Linked DNA regions of Mus musculus. The protein of the gene in region 2 purifies or fractionates together with the protein of the main gene of each other region. This does not show direct contact. Links are inferred from orthologs where the notes say so. Each region holds a gene or a part of one and is shown on either strand. Other genes may lie near its edges.

Region 1 (4,973 bases), on a different chromosome or scaffold from region 2:
ACTCCAAGTGTATGCTTATCCAGGACCATAAGGTGCCCATCTCTTATTCCCCCTTGGGTTGCCGCTCTCTGTGGTCCAGTGACAGAAGGAATAAGGACAGTAGCCCTAAGTACTGTATCCCTAATCAGAGGATAAAGGAGCCTACAACAGATGCATCATCAGACTGGTAGACATCAGACACGTTGAATTCTATCTGCTTCATGTCCAGACAGAGGCTCTGACAAAAGTTGTCCTCCTAAACCGGCCAGGTTTAGACTTAGTTTTCATTTCCCAGGGGAACTAGGCGAGTATTGCTGCTTCAATGCCAACAAAGACGGAGTTATCAATGAGGTTTTACAAAAGGTTGGAGATAATTTAGATAAGTGACATCAGGGACAAGAAGCAAATAATTTCTGGTACTATAAAATGTTTGATTTGAAAGAGTAATAAAGACAAAATTCTAGGCCTTTGGGCCCAGGCTTGGGAATTTTGCCTTTGTGACTCAATGCTCCAAGGTATGCTAATCATAAAACAGATATCAACATTCCTCCACCCATCAGCTTCCTGGGTTCAAAGAGTGTTAATTCAAAGAAAGTCACCCTGACCATTGCTGGAACCCACTATGCAAAGGTGCTATTGCTAGGGGCTCTTAGATTGTTAGGGGCTCTTAGAAACTGTCTTGAGAGATAACCTGACACTTGTGACTTTGTACTTCCTTGTGACTCTTAACTGGTATTTTTGGTATTTTCCAACAACGCCCTTCCCACCTCCTTAAGTTGTGGTTTCTTCCTTTAAATACCCCCTAACCCAGCTACTCGGGGCGCCACGGTCCTCTACCCCTGCGTGGTGTATGACCGTGGGCCGAGAGCGCTCTTGAATAAAAATCCTCTTGCAATTTGCAGCAAGACCGTTTCTCGTTGGTGATTTTGGGGTGTCGCCTCTCCTGAGTCAGAACGTGGGGAAGTCCTCACGTTGTGGCTCTTTCAGATTGAAACCTAAGGCTTGTAACCCTTTTTCACTGCCCTGGCCCCTTACTCCTCCTAACAGGACTTCAAAATCTAAACAGAAAAAAAAAATCTAAACGAAAACAAATTATATTCCTGCCACACAATCGGGAAAAAGCGCGAAGCCGCAAGAGAACACAAGTGAGCTTAGTATTTTCCAGATAATAATCCATAGCCGCATGCGCGCTCGCTCACACGCATGCGCAACACCACTGCTCCGTACCGCCGCAGTTTTAGCTGGGCAATCCGCCAGCGTCCACCCGGGGCACGCTTAAGCAGTTGCTTTTCGAGCGTTCCCGGTCCACTAGACCAGATTCCCCGTCCTTTCCCCTTCCACCCTTTGGCTCCATGAAAACGGCCATCTCTCTACTACGTCAGAAAGGAAATCAGCTTTCCACTCGGAGAACTACACGCTCGGCATCTCCGTACAGCCCGGCGCCGGCGCCGGCGCCTGCGCGCGCAGCTGCTCCGCTGCCCCGCCCCTTCCGCCGCTCATGCGCAAGCCCGACCGCCTCGGCGCGCCCGGGTTGGCTGCCCCGGCGGCCTCCTCGGCAGTCATGGCTCCTCGGATGTGATAGTTTCCCCCGCCCCCTCGCGTAGGACGCGGCGGCGGGGCGGCGGTGGGAAGCCTAACTTTATTGTTCCCCCGGCCCGTCTCCCGGCGCGTCCTCAGGATGCTCGGGAGCTGAGCGCCGGGGGCGGCGGAGGGTCGCGGTCTGTCCGGGCCCTCGCCTCGGAGCGCAGGGCCAAGGGAGGGAGTCACGATGTCAGGTAGCCGCCAGGCCGGCTCGGGTTCCGCTGGGACGAGCCCCGGCTCCTCGGCCGCCTCCTCGGTGACTTCCGCCTCCTCGTCCTTATCCTCGTCTCCGTCGCCGCCGTCCGTGGCGGCCTCGGCGGCGACGCTGGTGTCCGGCGGCGTGGCTCCGGCCGCGGGCTCCGGCGGCCTCGGCGGCCCGGGGCGGCCTGTGCTGGTGGCGGCCGCGGTGTCTGGCAGCGCGAGCGCCGGCGGGGCGGTGTCCGCGGGCCAGTCCCGGCTCAGCTGCGCGGCCAGGCCCAGCGCCGGCGTTGGAGGGAGCAGCTCCAGCCTCGGCAGTAGCAGTAGGAAGCGACCTCTGCTCGTCCCGCTTTGTAACGGGCTCCTCAACTCCTACGAGGACAAAAGCAACGACTTCGTCTGGTGGGTTTGCATAGCAGCCCCTGCGTGCATGACCACGAGTTTCTGCTGCTGAGCCTGGCGGGGTCCCGTGGAGGGAGGCCTGTTGGAGGTGCTGGGATTCGAACCTAGAGAGTTGAGTGTTTGCAGAGTTAAGGTTCCCGGTTGGGAGGTGGAGCTGGACTGGGATCCTTAGGCAAAGTGGTGAAATGGGATTGCACAGAAGTGGGTGCTGGTGTCCAGGAACTGAAGGCATTTAAGGGAGTGCTTAAGGATAAAGATGGAGGTCCAGTAAGTGGTTATTAGAAAGGAAGTATTCGGGGTAGGAGGTTAAATCCCTTCTGGTTTTTGTTTTTGTTTTCTTTCTTTTTTTGGCCATCTAGTGGACGAAGTATCAGTCAGGAGTAGTTCATGATTTTCGGAGGTAGAAGACTAGTTAGTGCCTGGTGATTCTGAGGTGTGGGATTGCTGGTCAACACTATATTGTAAAAAAGTAGATGGTGCTCGAAACCTGGTTGGTGATGCTTTACGAAGTTATTTTTGCCCATCCTGCGTTGGAATATGAATTTGAATAGATAGGACACTTGTAATACTGTTAATAATTTTGTAGTCAAAGTTTGTTCACACCCAATTCCAGGTTTCAACTGTTGGAAAAAGGGAAACACATTTTTAGTGTTTCTGTGTTGTATGGAACGATCGCAGCGCTGTGTATACACTGGAATCTCTGACTTGAGAAACGCTTTTACAGTCATTGCATCACAGCTGGCATCTTGAGCGACACAGTAGAATTCAGGCATTTGGCATCTAAGAGGGACTTTAAGCAAAAGATGAATCTGATTGTCTTGAAGAATGCTTTGAATTTTAATTGGGTTTTGATATTACTGGTAAGATTATGAGAGCTTAATGAAGATTTCCTGCTCACAAACTGGTAGAATTCTGGGCCTTTCCTAAGAAGGAACTTGTTGTTTGACTTAATGATGTAGGAAGTTGGCTTGAACAGTCATGCTTGGGGAAGTTAGTTCAGATCACAGTAGAAGATGGGCTTAAATGGTATTATTAAAGATGATAAGCTTAGAGATTGTAACCATTGAGAAAGGTATTAGCTACACTTTCTTGTTCACTAATATAATTCGTAATTTTGCTTTTGTTTAGATTCAGAAGTTGTGTGTGTGTTGAAATAGAATTATAGCTGTGGTTATTTGTAATTTAAGAAGTTTATGGTTGGGTGTAAGAGGTGTTTGCATTCCTTTTTTTGTTTGGCTTTATTTATTTATTTATTTAGAGACAGGGTTTCTCTGTGTAGCCCTGGATATCCTGGAACTAGCTCTGTAGAACAGGCTGGCCCTGAACTCAGAGATCCTCCTGCCTCTTCCTTCTTGTGCTAGGATTAAAGGTGTTTGTCACCACTGCCTGGGTGAGGTGTTTGTATTCTTGTCCAATCAATAGTGTCACATGATAAGGTAGAAACTAGTAAAACAGTTTGCTTTTTTCTTTTTGGCCATTATTTGTAGTTCAAACCAAGATGCCAGCATCCTTAGGTCGTTTAATAGTGTAAAAGGTGTGAGAAATCAGTATTATTCAATTATTAAACAGATAACTTAGGCACTGACTGTTGAACTATCTCAGAGTACCACAGTCTGTGGTGTAGCCTGTATTACTGGAGGTGAACGAGGTACAGCTGGCAATTGTTTTTATTAGGCGTGTCCTATTTTCATTTCTGTTTCTGTGACCAATACCTTGACTATAAGCCACTTAGAGAAGAGAAAGGTTTATTTGGCTGGAAGTTTCAGTTACAGTTCGTTATTGTGGAGAGAGCAATGCAGGAGCTTAAAGAGTCCTAGCCACTGTCAAGCAGAGGGAGGAGTGTCCATGCTGCCTGCCTGCTTATTGGCCTGTGACTCAGCTGGCTTTCTCCACTCCTGTAGTCAGGCCTCCATAGCCTGGTGGTGCTGCTCACAATGGGCTGGGTCTTCTTAAGTCTGTTAGCAATCAAGACAATCCCCTACAGCTATGCCAATAGGCCCACCTGATCTAGACTGCTCCTTGGTTGAAACTCTTTCCATGTGGTTCTAGATTGTGGTTAAGTTGACAGGTTTTAACTTTTTCTATAACTAGCTCAGGAGTAAGACTAAATTATTAGTTCATCACCTTGTTGTTTAAAAGAAATCAATTGAGCCTACTGGCTTGTGAGAAGACTTCAGTGGACAGGAGCTCTTGTTGCTCTTGCAAAAGATGGGTTTGATTCCCAGCACCCACATAACAATGTCTGTAACTCCATCTCCAGGGCATTGAATCCCTCTTCCAGGCCCCACAGGCACCCGGCACACAAGTAGCATACAGACATACTTGTAGGCAAAGCACTCATATACATAAAATAAAAGTAAGTAATTATACTCTTACATTGTATAGGCATTTTATATTCTATTATGAAAACATCCAGTGAGTATTTGTGGCTAAAATTCTGAATCTTTTACCGTGTAAGAATCTCAGTTCATCATTTCTCTTTCTGGTGAAGTTGTATATTCAGAAAAATTAACCAGTGAGTGCATTTTTCCTTAAACTAGGTTTAATTTTGATCAAACTCTTGGAGTAGGATATACATTAGGCAATGTCTTAGTAATTCTTTTTATTCCTAATTGGCCTCTGGGTGCTTTTGTCTTTTTTGTACTTCAGTGTCAGATTGTGAGCAATTCAACTTACTGTAATCTTTTATATCTAAATGAGGTTTATGTTTAAATAATGTTAATTCTTTTGTTTTTTTTTTTTTTTTTCCGAGGCAGGGTTTCTCTGTAGCCCTGGTTGTCCTAGAACTCACTCGGTAGACCAGGCTGGAGTGG
Region 2 (5,165 bases):
GAGACTCAACAGTCTGTAGGCTTCATCACATGAAAATGTTTGTCATGACACTGCCATTCAATATGATTTTAATTTAGGGAGTGTCAACTGAACATAGGATTCATATCCCAAGTATCTCAATAAATCCTGCTTGCTTATGACATCAATTAAGAGACACTTTAAGAGATTTCTTTAGGCAACTAAATAATATTATATTTAGGCAACTAAATCAAATTACCTTCTTTTATCTTTTTTTTTCTTTTTCAAAATAACTAAGAAGTAAGCTCAGAAAAAGAAAAAAAAAAAACTGAAATTCACTAAGATGGTCTAAGTACAGAAACCCTTCCTAAGAGTGTTTAACTCTTACTAAAATAGAAGTGGGGTAGATATTAGAAAGACAGGACATTTACACTTGAATTTTATGTACAAAATACCAACAGAACTTGAGTTAATTCCCAAGTTACCTTTTCCAGCCAAATAGCTCAACACTAACACAGGGTGCAACTTCAAATACAAGCTTTCAAGAAAAAAAAATTTTTTTAGCCGATCTGTAAACGTCAAAGACATTAGTGTCCTGCTTTGGTTTATTATTAATTCCAAATTATATTCTGCCACCTCACTTGGGGTGAGGGTGGGGGGTAGGAAGAAAAGTGTCTAATGAGAATGAAAATTTCATGAAGTTTTATAATTCAGTCCATTTAATTTTAAATTCAATGTGAACTTTAGTAATTAAGTCTAAGTTTCTTCAAATCATAATGAGTGGCCCCACAGGGCTGAAATAATTCATAGTATATTGACCTCCTACCAACAGTTTATAAGAAGAATCTACAGCCTAATTTACTAAATAATATTATAAGTATTCAATAAGCCTTAAGTTTGATCTAGTGAACATGTTACGGCCTATCAACAAATGTTATGACTTCAAAATGCAGTCATCAAACTCATAAAATTTCAACAATAATATATGGCTTCATTTATATTGTTTAACTTGTAATAAAGTTGAAAGAAAAATGTAAGCAGCAGGCATGGCTGCTTACTTTATCCCAGGGTGTTACAGTTTGAAATTGTTATCTCAGTACAGGGAATTATCTGACAAATGGACAAGAAGGAACACAAAATACTGTTTAAAATAAGAAGGTCACTGCTACGTGTTTATTTTCCTCTCATTACTTTTGTGACAAGACCATAAAATAGTCTCCAAGGCAAACTCACTGTGTGAGTGGTTGCATGTTTCAGTCCATATTTCAATGTCTACTATTTTTTCGATGAGATTAAGATGTCCCCCTTTGGAGGGGAAAAAGTATCAGTGAAAAAAGAGGCGTTCAGCTCAGAATCAAACCTCACCTTCTGAATCATGAGCCAGATCTCTGTTAATGAATTTTCTTTTCCTGACATTTGTTGGTTTCTCGGTACAGTTTCTCCCACGCTGACTCTACAAAGGGAAAGATAAAATCCTTTAAAAGAATATAAACCTCAGATGTCACACGTTTAAAAAAAATGCATACATAACTTAAGCCTACTGGATCCTCTCTCTGAGTAGAAAAGAAAAAGTTCACAGGAGAACTCCAACACATATTGTCTGACTTTGACAGTGGAGGCTCAGGCTGAGAGTTCGGCAGGCAGTGAGGAGGGAGAGTTGCTTCCCAGAGCATGTCCTAACACTCCTGCTTATCCTCATTCTAGTTACATGTAATCTCAGCATCAAAACATTAAGCTAAAACGCTTAATGTTTTTCTTTTCTTTCTTTTTTTTTTTTTCTGAATCAACTCCAGATTAAAACAGCGAATTCCATTCTCTCAGACAGCACCCCCACCCGTAATAAGAGAAGCCAAAGGAAAACTGGGAAAAGTGAGAAAATGAGAGGGGAGGGGGAAGACCCCCCCCAAGACACCCCATGTAAACACAAAATTGTCAGCATTTGTCTCAACTTCGTTCTTTTCAATGTGGCAGATAAACCCAGCCACAAACTTTGAGTGCAGCTGTTGCTGCCCTCCGTCTCCTCTTGCACTCATCGTGGACATATTAACCAGAAGAAGAGGTCTTAAAACAAAACTATGCCTTATCCGAATCACTCAAAGGTAAGCTCATTTTGTAGATAGGGCTTCTAGAAGCAGAGTCGCCCTACAGTGGCAACAAAGCAGATAAAGTGTCTGCAGTCCCAACCCCCTGCCCCCTCCCTTCGCATCTCTCGCTCTCCCCACCCCCGTCCAAGTCAAGTTTATAAACAGCAACTTTCGAACTGATCACTCACGTTGGTGACCACGTAAGGCACTTGCTGGTCATAAAATCCATCCATTCTGCTCCTCTTCGCAAATATTAGCTCAGTGTTTTATATTTTGAGCATTTAGCTGGAGATTTCCTCGGGATCTGGACTTCTATCAACCTAGAGGGGAACAAGATGGCTTTTAGGCTTAAAAAAAAAAAAATCATGAATGAAGCTCTTGCATTTGCATAGCTAATTACCCTCGACAGCCCCATTCACAAAAATAACCCTCCCCTACGCCGCCTTCTTCACCTGGATCCAAAGAGAGCCAAGAGAGTTCACAATTTACATACTTTCGGTCGTATCAAAAATCCTAACAAGAGGCAATGTATTTATTTACACTCTGGATGCTCCCTGCTCGGTCAGTGTACCCCAGGCGGCTCTGATTCGCAAACGTGGGCAAAACTAGCAATGGCGATCAACGAGACTTGCTTTTCACCTAACGGGACTAAAGAGACGGAGCTACCTCTTTCATAAGAATAGTTTTTGCAACCCACAACCATGCAATTATCTGGAGAGACATAAAAAGTTGTTGGAAATACCCACCTGAAGGCCACGCTAGGCGAACGGCTGCAAAAAATTCCCTCCAAATTTAATAAAAACATTAATTATTGCCCAGCACTTCCCCTTGGAAGCCGAAAGCGCCTCTGACAGAGCTGAATTCGGTGGTTTTTCCTCTACTTCTCCTCCAGGGGCCTCCAATCCAAACTGATGGATCGCTGCCTCCCATTGGCTCCACGTCTCTTTCACAAGATCAGATTTCGGGCTGTCAATCAGGCAGCTTTCGGCCCCTTCCCTTGGGTCTCCTGCGCCCCTATGCCTTTGCGACCACTCTGGGAGAAGTCGCAGGGTCCGCACCCAGGAAAAGCCACCGAGGGAAACTACTTCCTTCCTAACTCGCTGTTTTTGTTAAAACCGGAGGGATACTGAAACCTAGTGTATCGAGTCAACCAGTTCTCATTCCTAGCGTTGTTTGGTCCATTATTATGTCCTTAAAGCACTGTCGTAGAGGTTGGGGTACAGATCGAGTGTCCACAATCCCTTTTCTCTACCTTTGACCCGGAGTCCACCCACCACACGCTCCAGCCTTGCTCCTCAGAAGCTTTCGGTCCAAGCTATTTTTTTTCTCCATTTTCAACACTGTAATAGGGCTTATAAGATTTTTTTTAATACATCTTCAACAAAAATGATCTCCTTTCGTCCGTTGGACATGAAAATATTGTAAGGAAAGCAAGCGGGAGAAGCTGCTTCTAAGGAGAGGTGGCGCTGGAAGAGAGGATCCGGAGGAGTACGTAGCAGAGTGGGCGAGGAAAGTATAAAAATCAGATTCATCCTGGAGAGTGCTGAGAGGGAAAAAAACCTCCAGTGGCCACAGAGGGGTGGGGGAGGACTTGGTAGTTCAGATGCCCCCCTCCCGCACCCCTCCCCCGTCCCCGCCGTTTCCGGAGCTTTTGTTATGTATACAGAGAGGCGGAGGGTGTCACTTACTGTACTTGAAGATTTCACTTCCTCCACCAAGAAGTGGGGGAAGAGCAGGGAGGGCTCGGGTTACAAGGACAATGATGGGACCTTTGGAAGCGAGAATCTCTCTGAAGCTGCCTGCCCACAGAGCTTAGTTCTGATGTGTCCCCTTTGCAGCCGCTGCCCTACCAAGAATTGGAAGCCAGGGAGGAGTGGGGCCGGGGCTTTACGGTGCTAAAAGTCACTTGAGACCCTGGCGGGGACCAGAGCTGGGGACTAAAGGACTTTTCCAGCAGCTGTTTAGCCCCGTTGAGCAATGTGCTGCAGTTCTCAATTTCTATTTGAAAGTTTCTTCCCTTAAATGGAACATGGTGGAAACATCAAAATGGGAGCGTGCGCGCCTGGTACTCCGGACCCGCCGAGAAAGAGCGTAGTTTATGACAAAACCACTCTGCGCTTCACCAAGGGAAAAGTGTAGTCTTCCAGGGCACACACAATGCTTGCCCCAAGCCTAGTCAGGGCGCCGCGCGCGTCCTCTTTGAGAGAGGACAGTATCAGAGCCCGGGCGAGGGGTGCGTTCGAACGCTACTAGACTTTGTGAGGGTGCAACCCGAAGAGGGGAGCACAGCGTGGGTAACCCGCCAGTCTGCAAACCCCAGACAAGGCGGTAACAGTTTCCAAAGCCTTTCTGTGAGGCCAGAGCGGGACAGGTATCCAGAGCAACCGGGAGAGGGCGGAGCTTCTCGAAAGGCCCCGGGAGCTTGTCCCTGAAGCCAATGAGGAACCGTGGATTTCCAGTCCATTGTTGTTTATTGCTGACCCCGCAGCGCTCCGCCAGCGGATTGGATGCTTTCGAGCAGGGGGCGTTGCCCATTCCCCCCCCCCCCCACTCCACCTTTCGGCTCCATTCACAAAATCCCAATCTCTCTGGGTCACGTGGTTGGGGGCGTGGCGGATCAAGGAGAAAAAAAATACATAACAAAGGCCCAAGTTCCTCAAACCACAAAAGTTTTTGTTGTTGTTGTTGTTGTTGTTGTTTTGCAGGTGCGCGCAGGTGTCTGTGTGTTTCTGTTTTGGCTTTCCGCCTCTGCACACTTGGTACCAATGACCGTAGAGGAGGGGAAGTACCTTTCTATCGAAGAGCAATAGAGAGAGAGGAAGTAAGTCTAGGCTAATGGAACTCTCACATTGTATAATCCCGGGGTGCCCTGACTAAGAAAAAATCCTGAAAAGGAGGGAATTGAGAGTGGAAAGAAAGCTGAGAAAGGACTAGTAACTTTTCCTTGCTCTTCAGCACGTGGTTGTGTAAATGTGTAAGCTGTCTCACTGTGTAGAAACTATTCAGCGGTCTCCTCTCAGCAGCTGTCATTTCTACTTTGGATTTATCCCCGTGTCATTTTCTCCCCAGCTTCTTTTAGTGCACGTTTTCACACATTGCCGATTTCTAGGTCCCGAAGTCCAT

Evidence for each region.
Region 1: the proteins of Etv1 (region 2) and Cop1 purify together in Homo sapiens (affinity purification with mass spectrometry; 4 studies listed by BioGRID and IntAct, counting the BioPlex papers as one, with this or other methods). This does not show direct contact. The link is inferred for Mus musculus from reciprocal best matches to the Homo sapiens genes ETV1 and COP1.

The regions. Positions count from the first base shown.
Region 1 is NC_000067.6:159,230,691-159,235,663, forward strand, and holds the start of Cop1 (E3 ubiquitin-protein ligase COP1), read left to right. Parts: upstream 1-1,509; 5' UTR 1,510-1,747; coding exon 1,748-2,160; intron 2,161-4,973. UniProt on the Homo sapiens protein: E3 ubiquitin-protein ligase that mediates ubiquitination and subsequent proteasomal degradation of target proteins.
Region 2 is NC_000078.6:38,778,045-38,783,209, reverse strand, and holds the start of Etv1 (ETS translocation variant 1), read right to left. Parts: upstream 3,129-5,165; 5' UTR 2,789-3,128; intron 2,661-2,788; exon of another isoform or gene 2,495-2,660; intron 2,363-2,494; 5' UTR 2,276-2,362; coding exon 2,231-2,275; intron 2,108-2,230; exon of another isoform or gene 2,001-2,107; coding exon of another isoform or gene 1,908-2,000; intron 1,412-1,907; coding exon 1,324-1,411; intron 1-1,323. UniProt on the Homo sapiens protein: Transcriptional activator that binds to DNA sequences containing the consensus pentanucleotide 5'-CGGA[AT]-3'. Required for olfactory dopaminergic neuron differentiation; may directly activate expression of tyrosine hydroxylase (TH).